5 linked regions of the Mus musculus genome follow. Each later gene encodes a partner of the first gene's protein in a complex. Links are inferred from orthologs where the notes say so. Each region holds a gene or a part of one and is shown in the gene's direction. Other genes may lie near its edges. The genes, in order: Ppp4r3b, Ppp4r4, Ppp4r2, Ppp4r1 and Ppp4c.

The links.
Region 2: Ppp4r3b (region 1) and Ppp4r4 share a complex: the UniProt entries of both Homo sapiens proteins name them as parts of the PP4 complex. The link is inferred for Mus musculus from reciprocal best matches to the Homo sapiens genes PPP4R3B and PPP4R4.
Region 3: Ppp4r3b (region 1) and Ppp4r2 share a complex: the UniProt entries of both Homo sapiens proteins name them as parts of the PP4 complex. The link is inferred for Mus musculus from reciprocal best matches to the Homo sapiens genes PPP4R3B and PPP4R2.
Region 4: Ppp4r3b (region 1) and Ppp4r1 share a complex: the UniProt entries of both Homo sapiens proteins name them as parts of the PP4 complex. The link is inferred for Mus musculus from reciprocal best matches to the Homo sapiens genes PPP4R3B and PPP4R1.
Region 5: Ppp4r3b (region 1) and Ppp4c share a complex: the UniProt entries of both Homo sapiens proteins name them as parts of the PP4 complex. The link is inferred for Mus musculus from reciprocal best matches to the Homo sapiens genes PPP4R3B and PPP4C.

Annotation. Positions count from the first base shown.
Region 1 is NC_000077.6:29,210,736-29,214,654, forward strand, and holds part of Ppp4r3b (serine/threonine-protein phosphatase 4 regulatory subunit 3B), read left to right. Parts: intron 1-166; exon of another isoform or gene 167-269; intron 270-380; coding exon 381-520; intron 521-871; coding exon 872-1,056; intron 1,057-2,858; coding exon 2,859-3,061; intron 3,062-3,919. UniProt on the Homo sapiens protein: Regulatory subunit of serine/threonine-protein phosphatase 4 (PP4). May regulate the activity of PPP4C at centrosomal microtubule organizing centers.
Region 2 is NC_000078.6:103,530,952-103,535,651, forward strand, and holds the start of Ppp4r4 (serine/threonine-protein phosphatase 4 regulatory subunit 4), read left to right. Parts: upstream 1-1,613; 5' UTR 1,614-1,668; coding exon 1,669-1,791; intron 1,792-3,119; coding exon 3,120-3,193; intron 3,194-4,700. UniProt on the Homo sapiens protein: Putative regulatory subunit of serine/threonine-protein phosphatase 4.
Region 3 is NC_000072.6:100,832,472-100,836,437, forward strand, and holds the start of Ppp4r2 (serine/threonine-protein phosphatase 4 regulatory subunit 2), read left to right. Parts: upstream 1-1,166; 5' UTR 1,167-1,412; coding exon 1,413-1,446; intron 1,447-2,245; coding exon 2,246-2,327; intron 2,328-3,966. UniProt on the Homo sapiens protein: Regulatory subunit of serine/threonine-protein phosphatase 4 (PP4). May regulate the activity of PPP4C at centrosomal microtubule organizing centers.
Region 4 is NC_000083.6:65,838,593-65,842,511, forward strand, and holds the end of Ppp4r1 (serine/threonine-protein phosphatase 4 regulatory subunit 1), read left to right. Parts: intron 1-225; coding exon 226-367; intron 368-2,264; coding exon 2,265-2,428; 3' UTR 2,429-3,334; downstream 3,335-3,919. UniProt on the Homo sapiens protein: Regulatory subunit of serine/threonine-protein phosphatase 4. May play a role in regulation of cell division in renal glomeruli. The PPP4C-PPP4R1 PP4 complex may play a role in dephosphorylation and regulation of HDAC3.
Region 5 is NC_000073.6:126,789,441-126,794,152, reverse strand, and holds the start of Ppp4c (serine/threonine-protein phosphatase 4 catalytic subunit), read left to right. Parts: upstream 1-1,605; 5' UTR 1,606-1,730; intron 1,731-1,788; exon of another isoform or gene 1,789-1,929; 5' UTR 1,930-1,994; coding exon 1,995-2,092; intron 2,093-4,712. UniProt on the Homo sapiens protein: Protein phosphatase that is involved in many processes such as microtubule organization at centrosomes, maturation of spliceosomal snRNPs, apoptosis, DNA repair, tumor necrosis factor (TNF)-alpha signaling, activation of c-Jun N-terminal kinase MAPK8, regulation of histone acetylation, DNA damage checkpoint signaling, NF-kappa-B activation and cell migration.

The DNA of each region.
Region 1 (3,919 bases):
AGCTTTCAAGGCCTAAATTTTGTCTTTTGGTAAAATGGTAAAATATTCATAGGATTATGATAATTATATATAAAATTATAAAAGTTTTCTTTAAATTATGAAGTACTTACTGTATAAAGCACTAAGACATAAACTAAATCCATTGCTTTTCAAATGTTCCTTATAGCCCCCTAAAGGGCTCCAGTGAATTGCCTCTCCTTGTTCCAAGTTTTCTGTGGAGTCCTGTCCTGGCTCATGTATAAGGAATCTAGGACATTTATTTTTAGAAGGTGATTTTGAAAAACCTTTTTTGATCAATTTTGGAACTATACAAGTTTTTATTTTTGTTTTTCTCAACAAGTATTATATTGTTTTATAATGTGAATTTTGTGCCTATACAGGAAGATATCAAGTCTCTTACTGCACATATAGTTGAAAACTTTTATAAAGCACTTGAATCGATTGAATATGTTCAGACATTCAAAGGATTGAAGACTAAATATGAACAAGAAAAAGACAGACAAAATCAGAAACTGAACAGGTATTATTTAAGTGTATTATTACATTTATAGCAAGCAAAATTAAGTACAAAATTGTACACAGTTTAGATCTTATCCAGTGAAATTTTCTCTATTAGCAGAGCATAAGGTAAACTGTCTTTCTGCCACATCAGTTAATTATATGACAACTTGATACTGCATATAGTAATTTTGATAGAGTCTTAATTTGCAACATACAAAAACATTTGAAGATTTCTCTAGCTACATCTTATTTGATATGCTGTACATGCTAAGTTAAACTACATTAGTTCATCTTGGTTAGTCATTCTTCCCAAAGTTTATCTAGTTATGACCTTGTAGTCATTACTCAGCATCTGACATATTTCTTACAGTGTACCATCTATATTGCGTAGTAACCGATTTCGCAGAGATGCAAAAGCCTTAGAAGAGGATGAAGAAATGTGGTTTAATGAAGATGATGATGAAGAAGGAAAGGCAGTCATAACACCAGTTGAAAAATCTAAGACTGAAGATGATTTTCCAGATAGTTATGAAAAATTTATGGAAACTAAAAAAGGTACTAATGTTTGTAATTTTCATATATCACCACTTAGTAAAACAATTATACAGCCTGAGTTTGATCCTTAACACAGTACACACACATACAAACACACATAGAATAATAATATTTTACTTATTTGAAAAAAAATCTGGCCAAGGTTTGTAAAACAAGAAGCACAAGAATTTTATACTGAATCATACCCTTTTAAAGTTATCTTGGATATTCATATTTAAAATGCTTTCCTTGAAACTTAATGTTTTTAATGCTGTTCATTTTGAGTTTAGAAATGTTCAGTTTATAATATTTAAAACAGGGTCACAGTACATAGCCTCGTTGTCGCCTAGAACTCACAGTCACGTCACCCAACCCCAGCTTCTCAAATGCTGTGGTTACAGTGTGTGCCACCACACCTGACAACTGTTTAGAAATTTATTGTATACTATACTTCTGAACAGATCCGGCCTGACTTTGTTTCTTTGCTAAAATTTCATTGAAGACTTGTATTATAACTAAATTTTTTCTAAGTTTTTATTATTGAGTAACTATAACTATAGAAGCTTAGAACACTCTACCTCTGATATTTACAGCCTGAGCAATGTGAACTCAAAGACATGACTTTCCTCTTTGAAATTTCAACTATTACTTAAGGGGGTGCAGTTAGGCATGGTGGCAGCACCTTTAGTCCCACCATTCTTGGGCTGAGGTGGTAGAAGCACGACGAGCTTGAGGCCAGGCCATGCTACATGCTACTCTGTCTTCAGAAAAGGCAAAACAAACCCAGGCATGGTGACACCTTCTCATGACCCAGCACTAAAAGAGTTGGAGGGAGGAAGACTAGAAACTGAAAGTGATCCTCAGCTACAAACCAAGTTTGGGACCAGTCTGAGATCCATTAGACACTGCCTCAACGAGGGAAGGGATAAGTGTTCCTACTTATGTAGAACTAAGATATAGCTAATATCTTTAAAGAAATATAATCACTGTAATGGCCTGCAAATACTATTTGTCTATTTAATAGAAATTTATTTGTTGGAAGGCAAGATTATGTCTTGCATGACTTATTCTTCAGGCATTTCTTCTTAGAATCTCATTCAGGTGACTGAGTATCTTTTCTTTCAGCTATTCCCTCACTAACTCATTTCCTACTTATTAGTGCCATGAGGACCACTTACAGCTAACAAAAAGCCTACTGGTGTTCTAAGGAACATTATTTACTTTTCATTTGTATACTTGCTAGCTCTTGAACCCAGGGCCTGGCTAGCACTCTACCACTGAGCTTTCTATCTCCAGTCCAGAACAGGTGCTGTTTAGCAGACAAGTTCATTTCTTTCAGTCAGTAGAGATGTCGCCCTCAATATCACGATAAAAAAGAAACAAAGGCCATGCATGCTGTTAGGAAATGTTTCAAAATAAAATTACCAGACTTTAAAGGAGTTTGGGCACCTATGCTATAAAGAAATCAAGTAAAGAAACTTGGAGTTTTTAGGGAGTAAATGACTAGGATACTTAAGAGTTATCCTTAGGAATTTTCAGTGGTGACTTGTGAAAGAAGATTTGTAGAGGGGAGTTGGTGAATGGAAGACAGTAACAGAAATCAGACTGCTAAGAGCTTCTTTACAAGCAAACACTGAGAACAATCTACTGTAAGATGGTTGGTTCTGTTCATTGACGTTCCTAAGAGTCTGACCAAATAGAACATGTACTTATCTTAACATGTGCTGTTAGAAAGCATACATAGGCAAAGTTGTATGTTGTCACTTCAACGAATGCTTTGACTTAGCAGTATTTAATGCAGGCTCATTTTACTTTTGCTTTAGCAAAAGAAAGTGAAGACAAAGAAAACCTTCCCAAAAGGGCATCATCTGGTGGCTTCAAATTTACTTTCTCCCATTCCCCCAGTGCTACTAATGGAACAAACAGTACAAACAGTAAGTCTGTAGTGAGTCAGACAACACCAGCAAGTTCTAATGTGGCCTCTTCCAAAACTACAAGCCTGGCTACATCAGTGACAGCCACAAAGGTATGTAAAATAAAAATTCCATACAAACTCTGCCTTTTCCATCTGTAAAACTACTTTGTGTGTGCTGATGATTTAGATAAAAGTTTCAAAGAATGAAAAGGTTTTATTATCATCAGAACCTGACTCCCAACATTGAATGCAAACACATGAGGGTTATCTTGCATATTATGTAAATTTTAGGTTAAACATTTTTTTCTTTTAGGACTTTTATAAAGAACTGTTGACCATTTTATTTAGCTATATATGAGCCTATTGAAAATTCCCAGTTTGTTGCCGTTTTAAACATAATAGCAATGTGAACTTTACATACATCATTTCAGATCTATGTGTAAGTCTGTATAGAATGTGCATTGTACCCTATTTCCAAATGCAAATGCTCAATAAAATTGGAACAAATGGATAATTTCTTAACATACTACTTGTATAACACCAAAAGTTAGTTTTGTATTTAAGAAATATTAGGGATATTCCCACTTAATCATGAACAAGACAGCATGTTGTTATTATTGCTGTTATTTAACCATGACTGTAAAATATTGGTTAGCACATTTAGTGAAACAACCAAAATTACTATTGTATAATCTCCTATTAGAGAGTAAAAAGTCCTTGTGTGCTTGAAACTACACTTGGTTATAATTTACTCTGTTGCAGAGAGGAAAAAAAATCCTCTTCTACAGTTAATTTAGTCATTGGCTTTGATCCTTATGATCATTGAATTTTCATATATTAGAAAAAAGGAAGTTTGCCAGGCATAAATTGCTTATGCCTGTAATTCCAGCAGTTAGTTATCATCTACAAGCTCTTTTCTCAAAACAAGGAAATACACCACAAAAGCTGGATACGATTACCTGCTTTCTG
Region 2 (4,700 bases), on another chromosome or scaffold:
TGCTAGCCATACCCTCTAACAGGCAGGGAATGAGGGATGCTAGGAGAACCTGGAGACCAGGTCCGATTGGATGTATCAAATAGGCACCTTGGCCCTTTGTCCTGGCTTTGAGAGCTAATGGTTTGTTTCATGAAGAAGCCAGAGGAAGCTATCCAGTGTCTTGCCCTGCTTTTCTCCGTCATGGTAGGGTCTCTCATGGAAGTGGAAGGCAGATTGCAAGCTCTTGGGGTCCTTTTGTCTTCAGCCCCCACGTGTGGGGGTTACAGGCTCATGCTGGCTTTTTAAAAATTATTATTATTAAATGTGGGTGCTAGGATCTGAATTCATTTCTTTAGAACTGCCCAGCAAGTGTTCTTACTCTTTGAGACATCATGTGTGTGGTGTGTGTGTGTGCATGCCTGTAAGATGGAGTGAGTGTGGAGGTCATTGGACAACTTGTAAGACTCAGTCCCTTCTTTCACTGTGTCCAATGGATGGAACTGAGTGTCAGGTGTGGCACTTTTACCTATGTAAATGGCTGTGCACGTCTGCGTATTGTCAGGCGGTCAAAAGAGGGCCCTGGAATTGGACTTTCAGGGGTTTACTAGTCCCTACAGTAGCGCTAGGTATAGAAACTGTGTCTTCTGGAAGAGGAGCCAGTGTTTTTAACAACTGGGTCATCTCTCCAACCCTTCCCTGTCTTATTTTGACTAGAACCAAATGTAAGCGAGTTGAATCAATGTGCTCCCCTAGAGCAAGAGCAAGGTAGTGCTCCACCGAGGTCTTACACATCTCTTTCTACCCACTGTGCTAAGCACTACCTCCCAGTTCTCTAAGAAGAGCTGCACTCATCATGGCCCAAGTTTTATCCGAAAGGGCTGGCTGTAACCTCTCTTAGTAAATCCTTATTGATTTTTCAGGATTCAGTATAGGTCTTTTTTTTTTTTTTTTTTTTTTTTAAAGAAGGCATTTTGGGACATTTTCCTTCTTCCAACGTCAGGACTGCAGAACTGTATTCGCATATACCTGTCTCCTATCCTCAGGCACACACTAGGCACTAAACCAGCTTGATTTGGCCACTCGAGGGTCCCTAGGCCGGGAGTTGAGTTAGCAGGGGCTTGTCTACACCAGAAGCAGGCCAGCAGAGCAGCCACCAAATAACCAGAAAGTCACTCTCACAGGTGCAGAGGAGCCCAGCACACTGCACACTTCCCCCGCTTCACTCTCATTGGCTCAGCCTGCCCGCGCCCATTTCCCGCCCCCGGCCCGCCTCCTGGCCGCCTGGGGACGCGGAGAGCTCTGCGCACGCGCCGAGGGGCGGGGCTCGCCCCATAAGGGTGGGGCGGGGGCCCAGGGAGCCGGACCAGGGAGCGTCGTTGCGCGGCAGTTGCGTCCTACCTCGCGCGCAGACCCCGGGCGGGGGCGGGGCCGAGGCGGCCGCTGAGGCGGCTCCCTGTTCTGGTCCCGCCCCCTCCACCCGCCCCGCCCCCTCCACCCGCCCCGCCCCCTCGGTGCGCTGCTCTCCGGCTCCCGCCGCGCTCGTGTTCTCGTCGCCTGCGGCCTCTTGCTCTGCTTCCCCGCGGCCGAGAGCGGGACCAGAGAGTCCTTCTGGTGGGCGGCGCGGGGCTGCGCGCGTCCGGCATCCCGGGGCCGCTCGGGCGGGCCGGCGAGGGAGCCCCTCGGCGGTCCATGCATCCGCCGCCGCCCGACGCCGGCGTCGCGATGGATTTCGGGCAGAACAGCCTGTTTGGCTACATGGAGGACCTGCAGGAGCTCACCATCATCGAGAGGCCGGTCCGCCGGAGCCTCAAGGTGCGCGGGACCGAGAGACGCTCCCCTCAGGGCTGCCCGCCGTCCGACTGCCCCTCGGCGCTCCAGCGCCAGTCGCCCTGTCACCGCAGCCGCTTCAGAGCTTCATTCCCTGCCGCAGCCAAGGGTCGGCCTGTCCCTGACCCCTGACTGGAACCAGTCCCTTACCCTGGCTAGAGCTAGCCCTGCCTCCTGACTGAGGCTAGTCCCTTCCTCTGACTGGAGCCGGCTGGGTCCCTTGACTACGGCCAGCCCAGTCTCCGAACTGAAATCAACCTGCCCCTGACTAACTGGAATCAGCCGGGCCCCCCCGACTTGGTCCCCCGACTGCGGCCAGCCCTGCGCCCCACCCGGCTCCGGCCTCCCCCAGGAACGGCCAAGCCGCTGTTCTCGGGGCCAGCCTCCGCAGCCAGCTCCTCAGCCCGTGGTGCTGTCCCAGGTTCTGGTCGCTGGCCCATCCTGGGTTTCACACAGCCCTAGTTCCATCTCTCGCCCGGACGTCTCAGGTCCCATCCTTTCACGGTCCTACCCCCACCTCTGCATAAGATCAAGCTTGGGTCTCCCCGTGCAGCATGGCCTCCTTCACCTTCCAAGGAGAGGCACCCTTCCCAGAGTCGCCCTAGTTTAGGGTTTGAAAGCTTCTCCTCAACCCTTGCCTCCCATCCTGAGTCACCATGCATCCTTTTCCTCCCAGGTCCTCCAGGACTGTAGGCGGGACCCTGCTCCCCAGCCCCCTTGAGGGGAGTCAACCTTCTGTTTCCCCCCCTACCTCGCTCCCCAACCCCGCAGAGTCATCTTTCCAGCCTTGTGGGGTTTCAACCCTCATCCTCACAGATGACAAACCTAGTTTATGGGCCCCTTCCCTACCCTTCTTGCCAGTTCTTCATTACCTTTCTAGAGCCTTTGATTTTCTTTCCGTCTGAGTTCATTCGGTTCCCAACAGGAGCTACAAAGCTTGTCCTTTCTGTTTTATTCAACTCCCCTTTAAAGCATTTCCCAGTGTGGAAAATGTTGTAGCGGCTTGGGGTACTGCGTTGAAGACAAAAAAATATGTGAATATATAGGTAAATATGTTCACATGTGGTATGTATGTGTAATGAAGTTGATTCCATTGAGGTCCTACAGTCTATAAGGCAGAAGAGTACAGATAGTCCCCCCTCTCAGCACTCAACTGGAGATCTGTGTTTAATATGGTGTAGAACAATCCTCAGATTCCAGATTAGTTGTCATTGCTATAATTGTGAATTTTTACCAATAGGGTCTTCAAGGGTCTTTGGGAGCCAACAGTGACCAAATGTTTGTGTGCCTAATTTGCATTTTATCCTTGACAGACACCAGAAGAAATAGAAAGACTGACTGTTGATGAAGATCTCAGTGATATTGACAGGGCTGTTTATCTGCTCAGGTAGGTCTCACTCTTTCTTGCAAATTGCTGCCCTTTGCCTGTTGGGCAAACATGAGCTGTTTCTGAAATGTCATGTCTCAGTTGCTGAGGGTGTTCAGACGGACTGTTCCCCTTGAACAGGGTACTTTTTTGCATGCATCACAATTATGTTATGAATTATGTTAGGTTTGGGCTTATGGATCTGAGAACTGGAATCAAATAACATATCTAATTTAAAGAACACTGCCTGGAGGAGGAACTGCAGAGCAGCTAATGGTTTGAATTGAATCACATCCTTTTGAAATTACTTTCCAAGTATGCTCATGCACGAGTCAGTAAGCATAGATAAGATTTAAAGGTACCCAGTGATTAAAATTTTAAGTTTATTGTAGAGAATGGATATTGTATGCAATACTATATAGAAAAATTCAAAAACATGAATTTTTGCTCAGAATATAGTTTATTATTACTTTTGTAATGTGAGCTTTATATTGCTTGCAAGTTTCTTTTTTTCTTTTTTTTTTTAAATTAAGTTGACTCTACTCTCTAAGTTTCAGACCATCTCGTGGGCTCTACAGAATAGCTTGAGACAAGTGGTTATGTTGTCGCTATATATGCTTCTGATGATTCTACATTACTTCAGTCACAAAGGTCTCCATTTGGGTGCTGGGCGCGGGGGTGGGGTGGGGATTACAGTACATTGCTAGAATCAACTTATATTATGCAGATATGTATAAACACAGTAATACAAATGATTTGAATAATTTTAAAGGGTAAATATATTGATGAAAAGTCTTCAGAAATAGAAAATCTTCTAGGCGTTTGTATATATTTAAGAATTATTTTCACCTGTGTGTGTGTGTGTATGTATATAATTTTCTTTTCTTTTGGGAAATTAGTCTTTGTGATCGCTGTTTAGAATCAGGGTTTGAAGACTGGTGCTACCTCCTATAAAGTCCGTCTCCTTTGTTTAGGTCTGCCTTACTAGCTTCAGCTGCTGTCTATCTTCTTATTCTGTTCTTGATTATAGATTATAGATCATATTTCCAGTCCCATGGTATTCATTGAATGATTATATAAAGAATTCCTTAAGATTCTTCCCCCTCTTCCTCAGATTCAGGGCCTTGTCTGTGTTACACAAAGTGTTTACCACAGAACTGCACCCTCAGCCTCTCTTCAGGACTTTCCTTCAATATTCTTCCTGGTGGCACCATGAGTTTCTCTTCTTACTGTGTATCAGTGTACTTTCCATTTGGACCCTACTGATCATGGTCTTCGATAATTATACCAAACAAAACCCAAACCAAATGGATAAACCAACAGATAAACACACGAACAAAAGCAAGCAAGCAGACAAAACAAAGTGAAGGTGGGCTTGGTGGGTACACCTGTAATCCCAAAGCTGATGCAGAAGAATTGCTGTGCATTCAAAGACAGCCTGGGCTCCGCAGGGAATCCCAGGGCAGCCGGTGCTTCATAGTGAGTCCTTTCCTGTCAATTGGCTTTCACCGTAAATCTTCTTGTGCAA
Region 3 (3,966 bases), on another chromosome or scaffold:
TTCGAGACAGGGTTTCTCTGGCTGTCCTGGAACTCACTTTGTAGACCAGGCTGGCAACTCACTTTGTAGACCAGGCTGGCCTCGAACTCAGAAATCCACCTGCCTCTGCCTCCCGAGTGCTGGGATTAAAGGCGTGCACCACCACTGCCCAGCCAGAAACATCTTTTTAAAGTCAACTTTGTAATGGCTATGTCCAGATTCTCAGCGTCTCAGTTAACGTTTGGTAACAGGCTTCATCCTTTCTTTGCTGACATGGTATGTGGGCCTCAGGAAGAGAAGGTGGAACAAGCAAGAGCTTTTCTTTTTTCTTTCTTTTCTTTTCTTTTCTTTTCTTCTTTTTTTAAAAAATTATTTTGTGTGTGCCCGAGTATGCGTGTTAAAATGGAAGTCAGATGACAACCACATGCATACAATGGATAGAACTCTGGCTCTAAGCACCTTCACCAGATGAGCCATCTTGCTGGCCCACTGCAAAAGTATAAAATGTTCCGTGCTGGTTTAGAGCTAGATGTTTTGAGTTCTAGAACTATCTTGACATACTTTGTCTCCATTTGTCATAGAGTTCTAGAATTGTCTTGACATACTTCGCATCCATATTATATAATGTATGTGTGTGTGTGTGTGTGTGTGTAAAGGCATACTGGGCTTGAATGTGTCTCAGCTGGTAAAATGCTTGCCAAGTGCTTGGTTTGTATCTCAGAACCCATAAAAACAGGAGTCGTGGTAAGCCTCTATTATCCCAGCGCTTGGGAGGTGAAATCAAAAGAATGAGTAGCATAAGGTCATCTTCCAGCTTGGGAAACATAAGATCCTCGAAAATTAAACAAACAAACAAACAAACATTGAAAATGTGTTCTCTGAGCCCTAGTGATGACAGCAACAGTACACAGGGACCACAAGAGTGGTCGGCACCAGCGCCTTCAGTGTACTGATGGGGAAACGGAGGCTCAGAGAAGCAATGTGGACACATCAGCTACACTCTTCCTCTGTTCAGCGGCGTCCGCAGCGCGCAGCTCCAGCCGCGGGCTCCGAACTCGCGCCTCGATCCCGTGCGCCTCCGCCGCGCACGCGCACTGGGCGGGCCGGGAGCGCTCCTGGGCGTGTGTGGGTGTGTGCGCGCGCGCAGCGGGCGCGAGGACGACAGCTGTGGGGAGCGTGCGCGCGCTGACGTGCCGGGCGCCATGTTGGAGGGCTGGTGGTAGCGGCTCGGGGAGGTTCTCGCTCTGTCCGTCTCGCTCCGTCTCTCGCTTCCCCCCGCCCCGGCTCCCTTCGGGACCCCCCTCCCCGGTCGCCGGCGTGTGGCGGAGTGTGTGCGAGGGCGGGGGCGGGCGTCCGGGGGGGCGGGGGCGGGCGCCGCGGCCCCCGGGACGGCGGCCGAGGGAGGCGCCGGCGGCGAGGGACTGCGCGGCGCCATGGACGTCGAGAGGCTGCAGGAGGCGCTGAAAGGTGGGGGTCGCCGCGCTGCCGGCCGCGCGCTCGGGCGGAGGCCGCCCGCGCCTCCCTGCTGTAGCTGTCGCCGGCGCGGGGCTTTGTGTGGGTTGCGGGCGTGGGGTGGGGGGGAGGGGAGCGCCTAGCACCGGCGCGGCCTCGTCGTGCGGCGGCGGCGGCGGCCTCCGGGCCTGGGGAGGTTCGCACTCATCAGACGCTGGGGCCGCGGCTTGGCAAGCAACAGGCTCGAGAACACTGCTTCCCAAACTTGGAACCGCGGGGTCCCGGCGTTCTGAAAACACCCCCACCCCCTAGGACATGCGGGAGCATTTGGAGGATGGCGGCTCGGTTGGGTGGCTTTAGTGGCTTGGGGCTGGATTCATTCAGGTGCACGCTGCGGCGGTCGGGGTTCGGGTCGGATGCCGGGGCTCCCTGCGCCACACTTGGGGAACACTGAAGGATAGTCTGTGAGGTGGAGTGCCCCCTTTAGGAGAATTTGCACTGCCGGTGAAAAAGGGTAACGAGGAGGTAGGAATTCAGGGTGCACGTATGTGGGTATTTGAGTGAGAGGCTGATTTTCTTTCTTAAATTAAAAAAAAAAATTTCGTTTTGACACAGTTTTTCTGTGTTGCCTTGGCTGGTCTGAAACTCAAAGAAATCCGCCTGCTTCTGCCTCCCAAGTGCAGAGATTAAAGGCTTGTCCCACAGGCGCCCAGCTGAGTCTGATTTTCTTAATTGTTTCCAAATGTAGAGAAAGTTTGAATGTTCTTGGCAAGGACGTAGTGATAACCCTTTTTTTTTTCTTTTTCTTATCTAGATTTTGAGAAGAGAGGGAAAAAGGAAGTTTGTCCTGTACTGGATCAGTTTCTCTGTCATGTAGCTAAAACTGGAGAAACAATGTAAGTAGAAACATGGGTTCGTGGTCACAGGCCTACCTGTCATTCAGAGTTGCTCAGGAATGTGGGGGAGAGAGGATTTCAAAACACTCACGGAATAGATCTGTCCAAATTCGAGACCCCTGGGGATGGGTGAGATAGCCCAACAGGTTAAGGTGTTGACTAGCAGGCCTGAGGGCTTGCGTTTGATCTGGGAGTGCCACATAATAGAGCTGATTCCCAAAAGTTGTCCTCGGACTCAAACACAAATCAATAAGTGAATGTAAGTTAAAAAATTGAGATGCCTTAAAGATCACAGTAGAGGTGAGAATCTTTCTGCATGTTGCATAACAGTTGTTAAGAATTTATCAGAGTTTTTTAGATTTCTATACTTTGGCACAAAGAACCTACTAGTTTTAGTTGGAAAGAACTTAGGAAAGAATGTTCCATTGTGTGGCTTTGATACTGTTTCAGGGATTTGTTGAGGATTTTTTTTTTTTTTTTTTTTTGTGCTGTTGCTTACCCAGCCTTTTGTTTTCTTACTAATTCTTGTAGTTGTTTGAAGTCTAACTTGTATTTCTTGCCTTGAGGACTTAAGGTGATTATCTGACACGTTCCAGATGGTGAGGTTGTCACTGTCCTGACCTAGGCTAGCTAACTTACATATGCCCAACATCTTACTAGGCTCTTTTCCAAAAGTTGCTCTCAACTTATACTGTATTTTTTATCCAAAGGAAGAATCTAGTTTTATTATTCTATAGCTTGTGTGGAAAAAGTTGCTCTCACAGTTTGGCTCAGTTACTCTGGAAGATAACCCATCTTTGTACACTGCTCTGAGTAGGGTAGGGTGAGGAGCAGGAAAGAGGAAAGGTTATTTTGGGTTCATGTTGGTGAACTGCCTGCTTAGTTTGAATAATATAATCACTCAGCAAGTGATTGTACAGCTTCTCTGTCATTAGCACTGTTCAGTCAGGGCCTGGAGCCACAACTATTTATTTTAGACCAGGCTGGATTTGAACTCTGATCTGTATTGCCCCTGCCTTCTTAATAGGTAGCCAAACCAGGCTGTTTTTATCCTTTTAGGTGTAACCTTCACCTAGCTCAGGTGGTTTGGAACTCAGTAGGTAACCCAGACTGACTTCATACTCAGACGTGCCTCAGCCACCAAGTGCTGGGGTTACAGATGTGACTGCCACCCCGGCTTCCCTCATTGTTGTCAACATCTTGTTATTATTATTGATTACTGGAGGGCACTGGAGCTGGGACCTAGTGTCTCATGTGCAAGACAAGAAAGAGCCATAACACTGAACTACATTCTCAGCCCCTTAAAAATTTTCTTTTAAGCCTTTAATCCCAGCACTCGAGGCCGAGGCAGGCAAATCTCTTGTGAGTTCAAGCCAGCTTGGTTTACAGAGTGAGTACTGGGACAGCCAGGGCTGCACAGAAAAACCCTGTCTTGAAAAAAGAAATATTTTGAGAGTTACCCACACACTGGCTTTGAACTTAGGGTCCTGCTTTTTCATCTCTGTAGTGCTGGAACTACATGCATGCCCCAACATGCTCAGATCTGTCTTTATTAACAAGTATTCATTTCTTACACGATTCATTTATGGTTGTAGTTTAGCTTTCTAATAACTAGCTGCATTTTAGAAATATCTGGTGT
Region 4 (3,919 bases), on another chromosome or scaffold:
ATAATAAATAATTCTTTAAAAAAAAAAGAGAGAGACTCAAAGATAAGAACTTCCAACTGCTTTTACCACCACCACGGGCAGGGGTACCATTTCTAGTAGAAATAAAATGGATTTACTCTGATGGAACATCATAAAATGTCCTGAAGCATCGTATGGTATTGTCTGGGTTCCCATCTTGTGCTTGGTGATGGCTGGGCTGACAGTCACACTTGTCTCTCCCGCCAGACTGTCATTGAAGACGACTGCCTCCCCATGGACCAGTTTGCTGTGCACTTGATGCCACATTTGCTGACCTTGGCAAATGACAGGGTTCCCAATGTTAGAGTGCTGCTTGCGAAAACCCTGCGACAGACTCTGCTGGAGAAAGGTGGGTGGTGCTGGTAGGATGTATGAGCAGTAAAGAGGGTCACAGAGGCCAGGCAAGCATGACACACACCTTCAATCCCAGCACTTGGAAGGCAGACACAGAGAGGCACATGGGTTTTTGTGAGTTGGAGGCTAACCTGATCCAGTATAGCCAAGGCTACACAAAGAAACTCTGTCTTGAAAAACAAAAGTGGGAGTTGGGAGGGTATTTTAATGAAGACACTGGTGTTTGGGTGAAAGTCTTTTATTCTGGACATAGGGCATTTTTCTAACTTAAATCTTGTAATTTTGGTGATACGGTGTTTGGGGGGATGGTTCATTCTGTAAAGTGTTTGCTCTGCAGGCAAGAGGATCTGCATTTGCTCCCAAGAACCTGTATAAACGTGTGGGTTGTGATAGTGTGCATGTGTTGGAAGGCAGAGTTGGGTAGATCTCTGGAACTGAGTGGCCATCTAGGCACTGACAAGCTTAAAGTTCAGTTAGAAAGCCTGTCTCAAAAAAAAGGGGGGGGATGGTTTCACAGTCTTAGGTTTTCTATTGCTTGACCAAAAAGCAAGTTAGAGAGGAAAGAATTTATTCAGCTTACACTTCCAGATCATAGACCACCATTGGAGGAAGTCAGGACAGGAGCTCAAGCAGGGCAGGAACCTGAAGGTAGGAGCTGATGCAGAGGCCATGGAGGGTGCTGCTTACTGGCTTGCTTCCCATGGCTTACTTAGCCTTTGTTACAGAACCAAGGACCACCTACCCAGGGATGGCACCACCCACCATGGGCTGGGCCCTCCCCCATTGACCACTAATTGAAAAAATACCTCCAGCTGGATCTTATGGAGGCACTTCCTCAACTGAGGCTCCTTCCTCTCTGATGACTCCAACTTGTGTCAAGTTGACACACAGAGCCAGCCAGTACAATGTGGAAAGTAGTCAAGGGAAAATACTGAGTGCCAGTTCTGGCCTCCATACACACACAGTACATTCATACATATACAACATTTCAGAACGTAAATAATGGGAAGCAGCCAAGCTCCTCAGCAGGGTCAAACGAGGGTGCCAAGTACACAAGGTAGCCTCTGGCTCCATGTACACAGGGCTGGCGTGCCCGTCGTGAAGACACTCCCTGCAGCTTGCACTTGACTGTGGGCATTGTGGCTGAGGTAGGAGGCTCGTCTTTCCCTTCGTTCTCTAAGTAGGAGCCAGGCACCTGGCAGTATGTGTTTTGTTGGTTTTAGTACTGTGACTGCCTTCTCCAAATGCCACATGAAGTTGAGTGTGTGAGCTCATGGACAAGATATGGAAGAAATGTAGAGTAAGTCATAGTACAGGAATAAGCCAATACTGCTTTTTTCCTTGCTTTTTGTATATTTTTACTTTTTTGTCTTGTCTTGTTTTGTCTTGTTTTTTGAGACCGGGTTTCTCTGTGTAGCCTTAACTCTGTAGGCAAGGCTGGCCCCTAACCTAGAACCCAGAGATCCACCAGCCTCACCTCCCGAGTGCTGGGATTAAAGGTGTTCATTACCACTGCCTGGCTCGATCTTCCCCCAATCCCATATACATTTTCAAAAGAACAGTAAAATGGCTTTCCCCCTTAGAAAAGGGGTCTGGGTGTGATTGGTGTTTATCTGCTCTTTTCCTTTTTCTGAGCTGAAAATAGCTGGAACTGTTTTAATAAGCATGAGCTTATTCACCGTCAAGAGATTTGCCTATCACCAAAACAATCTCACAGTCCCTCTTAAGTTAGTGCTGCTTTCCCTGCACCGGTGAGCTTACAGATGGCTGAGTCCGCGCACAGTGCTTACTCAGGGAACTATTGTGCAGGCAGCGAGCCTTCTGCACCTGACTGTACTTGACTAAACTCCCAAACACCAAGACTAATGTTGTGTCCTGCACATCGTTTCCAGAGTACTTCTTAGCCTCTGCCAGCTGTCACCAGGAGGCCGTGGAGCAGACAATCATGGCCCTGCAGATGGACCGAGACAGTGATGTCAAGTACTTTGCAAGCATTCACCCCTCCAGTACCAAACTCTCTGAAGATGCAATGAGCACAGCTTCCTCCACCTACTGACCCACGGTGTCCATCCTGCATCCGCAAGAGCCTGGCCTCGACTGCCTGCACCACTCGGGACAGCTGTGGTGGGGGCCTTCCTCCTGCCAACTCATTCGCAGGTGCAGGTTGCCTACTCCCAATACCAGTGGTTTTAAGAGTCAAGAGAAAGTACAGTAAACACTATTATCTTATCTTGACTTAAGGGAAAGTAAATCTCAGAGGATTATAATTGTCACCAAAGCCTTAACTCGTTCCTTCATCTTCCTGACTGATGGCTTGAATTGGCAGAGCATTTTCCCTTCGGGAAGGATGAGGTTCCCAGAGACCTGCGTTGCTTTCTTCTGGTTTTATTTAACGGCTGATAAATGACATTCTTACGGCCAGAAGGTGGATGTGCACCGGACAGGAAAGGCCTTCAGTATTAGCCTAAGCATTTCTTCTAGGTGCTGAGCCTGTTCAGCTCCTTGGCTGCCCTGCCCAGCCCAGCCCTAAGTGTGAATAGTTCTTGGCGTGTATAAATGACAAAGGAGTTTTTCCTCTCCTAAGGGCTTGATGTTAACACTAAATAGAATCTGATTTTGACTCCTAATGCAGCACATTGCTGTACACATTTACAGAATGTTTGCAGAATCTCTCCTGATATTTTTCATGCTGGTCATGACCTGAAGGAAATTTCTTAGCACGAATATTGTGTCAGGTATTTTTAACTTGATCATGGTCAGCTCTGAGGTGCAACTGTGTCTTCCCGTGCTGCACCCCTGTGACCACTCTGGGGTGTGCAGCCTGAATCATGCTGTTAGAACTGTTGTGGTACAAGCTCCAAATAAAATTTATTAATAGGATCTATAAAGAGAGACACCACCCACTTTGTTTCCTAAATGTCTACAAATAAATGCAGTATGTGGCCTGTATTACTTAGCATAAGATGGGAGAAAGGCGTTTGTCTTTAGCTCAGTGTTCACCTGTCAGCCCTCCTCTTGGCAGGCGGCAGCAGCCTGAAGTCCAGGCTGCTATGAACACCACCTACTCAGTGCGCCATGGAAGGGCAGCCAGGGCGGGTGTTGGCTTCACTTGAGGACTGACCCAGCCTTAGGATGCTAAGCCTTAGCTTCCATCCACGACCCCTTCGGCCTTGCAGCTTCCATGGTGGGAGAGCGCGCACCTTCACGGGTGGCCCCTGACCTCTGCAGGAGTGCAATCCAGGTAGGTGGTTCCAGGCCCTGCTGCTCCCTGGAACTGACTCACCCTCTCTCACCTCTCAAAACCAGGACCACATGAAACAGCTACCAAACCTGAGATGCAGATTTGCCCACCCTGGACCACACCTTGTATGTGCTGACCCTGAGTAAACATCCTTCCCAGAGCTTGACTCAGTGTGTTGGTCTCACTACCCAGTGACTAGCATCAATTGTCCCAGTAAAGCCAAGGTTTCACTCATTCTTGTTACTCACAGCTCACTTTTCAGCCCTAGCGGAACAAAACAAGATTCTTTATTCAACATGTCACACA
Region 5 (4,712 bases), on another chromosome or scaffold:
CCCCAGTGCTGCAAGGGAAAACTCAAATCCCTATGCTTCCCCAAACTTCAGCCTCCCATTTTACTGCTCATCACGTACTTGTAGCCTTGCTCTCTAGAATTCTGTAGCCCACACTGGCCTTGAACTCTCAAGATCTGCTTTCCAAGTACTGGGATGAAAGGCATGTGCTATTCTCCTAGCTTCTATGAGGCGATCCTTTTTATTTTATATACATTGGTATTTTAACTGAAATGTGTGTATGTGTGAGTGTTGGATCCTCTGGAACAGTTGTGAGCAGCCATGTGGGTGCTGGGAATTGAACCCAGGTGGTTGGCAGGCTGGAAGAGCAGTCAGTGTTAACCACTGAGCCATCTCCCCACCCTCTATAAGAAAATCTTAAGGCACATAAAAATTGTTCAAAATTGAGAGGGACAATAGAATACTGAAAAAGAGGGAGTATGGTGTGCAGAAGATCAATAACCTGCTCTGCCTACAGCAAAAGGCAAAGAGAAAGGAGGCAGACTGCATGCACTGCGAATTTGGGGAGCTCCAGGGGCTGGCTTAGTGTTTGTGTTGCTTTGAGTTTCAGCAAATGAAAGGTGAAAGCCAGACCTGAAAACCACTTTTTTCTGGATTAATTTTTGTTTTTTGCTTTTTGAGGCAGGGTTTCTCTGTATAGCCCTGGCTGTCCTGGAACTCACTTTGTAGACCAGGCTGGCCTCGAACTCCCAAATCTGCCTGCCTCTGCCTCCTGAGTGCTGGGATTAAAGGCGTGCACCACCAAGTACAGCTATGGATTCATATTTGAGCTTTGATTGAAACTCCAGACTTTCAGCATTCAACTGTGATCAAGCTAGCCTCCAAACCCATTGCCACCTTCAAGGAATATGTTCAGGCAATAAGAAGCATTGTTGGGTGTGGTTGATTAATATCTGGGCTGAGATTCGCTGTGAAATCTGGGCTATTCTAAGCTACAGTGCAACCCTGTCAAGAAAAAAAGTGAACTATTTTGGAAAAGCTTGGTGTCCAGAGAGTGGACACTTAAAAAATTTTTTTTCAATTAGATTTAAGCCTCCGTGTTTTCTCTCATCACCATATGGGTTCTGGGGATCCAAATCAGGTCAGTAGGTTTGGTGACAAGTTCTTTTATCAGATATGCTATCTTCGTGAGGTGACCGCCCCCCGCCAAGTGTTTGCTCTGTAGCTTTGACAGCCTAGTATCCACGATCAGCCTTAGCCTCCTGAGTTCTGGGATTACAAATAGGCCACTATGTCTGGCCCAGGTTCGGAGCTCCTCCATGGGACCGTGGCAAGAAATGTGGACCAGGATAGGCTCTTTCATTGAACAATTATTTATGCATATCTGCAATACTTGGCCTTATTCTAAACACCGGAGAGGCAATGATGAACAAGGCAGTTTTATCCGTGAGATCTGTAATAGAAGCAGCCCAGGGAATAATGTAATGTGAGATGAGAAGCCTACCGCGGCTCGCCTCACCAGGCATACACAAGTACACCAGGCGCACTGCTGTATTTGCCTCCAACCAACTTCGCCCGCCCACTTCCGGCTACTTCTCTTCTCCTTCCCGGTGCCTCAGCGAGGCGTGGCTCGTGTGCGTCACTTCCGGCGCGCGAGAGCACTGGTTTCCCTTTGCTTCCGCGGCGAGGCCGGAAGTAGAAGCGGCGGTGGCGGAGGCCCAAAGCGGAGGGAAGTGGGGAGTCGAAGAGACTCAGCCGGAGTCTCCGCGGCGGTAATTGTCCGAGGCCCCTCTAGGCCACCGTCCTTAGCGCGGGCCCGCGGGGTTCGACGGGAGTTGGCGGGGTGCGGCCAGGGCAGCGGGACGCGGAGGGTCCTGGGCCGCCGTGAGGGGAGGGGGGGGCGGTCCCAGAATCGAGTCCCCCCTCCCGCACGGACCCTCTGATTGGCGGGCTCGCCTTCCCTTTTCCCAGGAGACCCCTGTGCGGTCCGGAGGGGGCGGCGGCCCCGACTCTGACCCGCGCCGGGGGGGTGGGCCATGGCGGAGATCAGCGACCTGGACCGGCAGATCGAGCAGCTACGGCGCTGCGAGCTGATCAAAGAGAGCGAAGTCAAGGCCCTGTGCGCCAAGGCCAGGTGAGCCCGCGGAAGGGACTCCAGCCGGTCGCCCCGGGGGTCTCGGCCGGGCAAACTCCGCCGAGAACTTAGGGCTTGCCCAAGCCCGGAAACGTCGCCAGAGAGAGGTCCGGAGAGCCACTTCTCCCCAGGAACCACGGGGCGGCTGTGTATGGGTTTCTAGTGGAGTAAGAGCGAGTGGCAGGAAGTTCTAGGGAACTCAGGGAAAATGGCTTGCCCTGCTGGGGTGAAAGTTTCTTGGAGGGGCTGAGTTCTCGGACAGATTCTTAAAGAGTGAGGAGATGGTTCAAGGCAAGAAAACAAAACGTGATTTGCGAAAGCCTCTCAATCCCGTCAGTCCTTAAAAGAGAAAATGACTTTGTGTCTAGTTTAACAAACAAGGACTCCAATTGTTCAAAATTACCAGCAAGGAAGGAATGGAATCTGAAGCCAGATCTTGTGAATACGGATCCTTTTAGTTATGATTCTGGAAGACGGAGTTGAGCCACCTTCGTGTTCCATTACGATCCTAAGAAAAACAATAAATAGGTCACACTAGAAGAGTTTCAGACTAGCTCATTTTACTGAGTTGAGGTCTTTTCAAAAAAGGAAGAGTTTTTGAAAAAACTCACAGCTTCAACACAATTTTTTTTAAAGATTTATTTATTATTTTTATGTAAGTAAACTGTAGCTGTCCTCAGACACACCAGAAGAGGGCATCAGATATCATTACAGATGGTTGTGAGCCACCATGTGGTTGCTGGGATTTGAACTCAGAACCTTCAGAAGAGCAGTCGGTGCTGTTAACCATTGAGCTATCTCCAGCCCCTCTCAACAGCCCCTCCCAAGCCCTTGGGATGCCAAGAAAGGAGAATGAGGGGTTTAGGGTCATCCTAAGCTAGGTCAAGGCCACAACATGAGAGCTAAGCATGATATGGATATGGAGAGAGGCAGAGTTCTCTGGGAAGTAGAAGGAAATTGTAAGTCAGGATCCCAGTTTGGGGTGCAGTGACTGTGGATTTGAGTCTGAGCTCTGCCACTTTGTGTGGTGTTGATTTTGAAGTGTCTTAGGAGTCAGTAAAATGGAACAAGTTGTGTTGAGTAAAACAGTTGTGACCATTCTGCGCAGGAAGTGAGTTTAGCATGATGTTGAAAGTTATGAGATGGTATTCAAAGATTGAAGCTAGCTGAAACTTTGTGGGGGGGGGTGTTTGGTTTTGTTTTGTTTCAGAGACAGGGTTTCTCTGTGTAGCCCTCCTGCCTTATCTTTTAACTCACTGTAGACCAGGCTGACCTTAAACTCAGAGATCCCTGCGCCGCCCCCGCCCCCCCCCCCTTTCCAGTGCAGGGATTAAAGGCGTGTGATACCACCCTCTGGTAACCAAGGTGCTTCTAAGAAAAGGTAGACCAGCCGGGTGTGGTGGCACACGGCTTTAATCCCAGCACTTGGGAGGCAGAGGCAGGTGGATTTCTGAGTTCCAGGCCAACCTGGTTTACAAAGTGAGTTCCAGGACAGCCAGGGCTACATAGAGAAACCCTATCTTGAAAAAACAAAAAAGAAAAAGAAAAGAAAAAGAAAAGGTAGACCTTGAAAGATACATTGACCAGCCAACAGCACAGTGAGAAGGAATATTCAGATAGGGTGGGAGTAGGTAGGTAACAGTTGAGGCCGGAAACTTGCAGTGTGACTTCCACCCTGTTTAATGGATAGTAACCTGCTCCTTCCCCTTCCCCACGAGTTCTGTGAGGCCGGGAGAATATGTGTGTGTGCCTGTCTGTCCTCTCATGTAGCCCTAGCTGGCCTTGAACCCAAAGAGATCCATCCATCTCTCTCTCTCAAGTGATGGCTTCTTTTTACAGAGTAGGAAGCCATGACTTGTAGGTACTAGTGACTTGATGCAGGTTACCCACTGAGGACGTGGCAGCTGGTGTCCTGGTTTGCTTTCTCTTGCTGAGCTACATCTCTAGCCCTGTTTGGTTTGAAGTCTTTGTTTTGGAGACAGGATCTCACTGTCTCTTAGGCTGGTTTGGAGCCTGGAATCCTCTGCTTCTACCACCATGCCATCATGCCTGACTGTAAAAGGTACTCCCACATCTTAGGCTAGCCTTGAACTTGCTATAGAGCCAAGTATAACCTGGATCTTTCTGCCTTACCTACCAAGTGCTGACATTCCACGTGTGTGTTCCTGGTATTGATTTGAGGCCTGTGGAAGAGTCTGGTGTTGCTCCTCTGGAAATTGGATTCCCGGGCTCAGCAAGTTTCCAGCTTGATCTGCCACTATTCTAGGAGGTCTTTGTGGAAATCATCACAGGAGTAGGGTAGAAAAGACAATGCTGAGCTGAGCCAGGGAAGATATTGTTAGAAGAACCCACAAAGTAGCAAAAAGAAAAAAACTACACCACAGCCCATTTCTTAAATGTAAATTCCTGTTACAGTGCCACAATCCTTTAATCCCAGCACACATGAGGCAGACACAGACAGGCAGATTTCTTGAGACTAGCCTGGTTTACACATCAAGTTACATATCCAGGCAAGCCAAGGATACATAATGAGGCTCCGTCTCCAGAACAAATGAATACAATGCTGACAGGGAAGGAACACCTTTGAAGGTCATCTGGGATCCTTGTGCCGGAGGTCTCA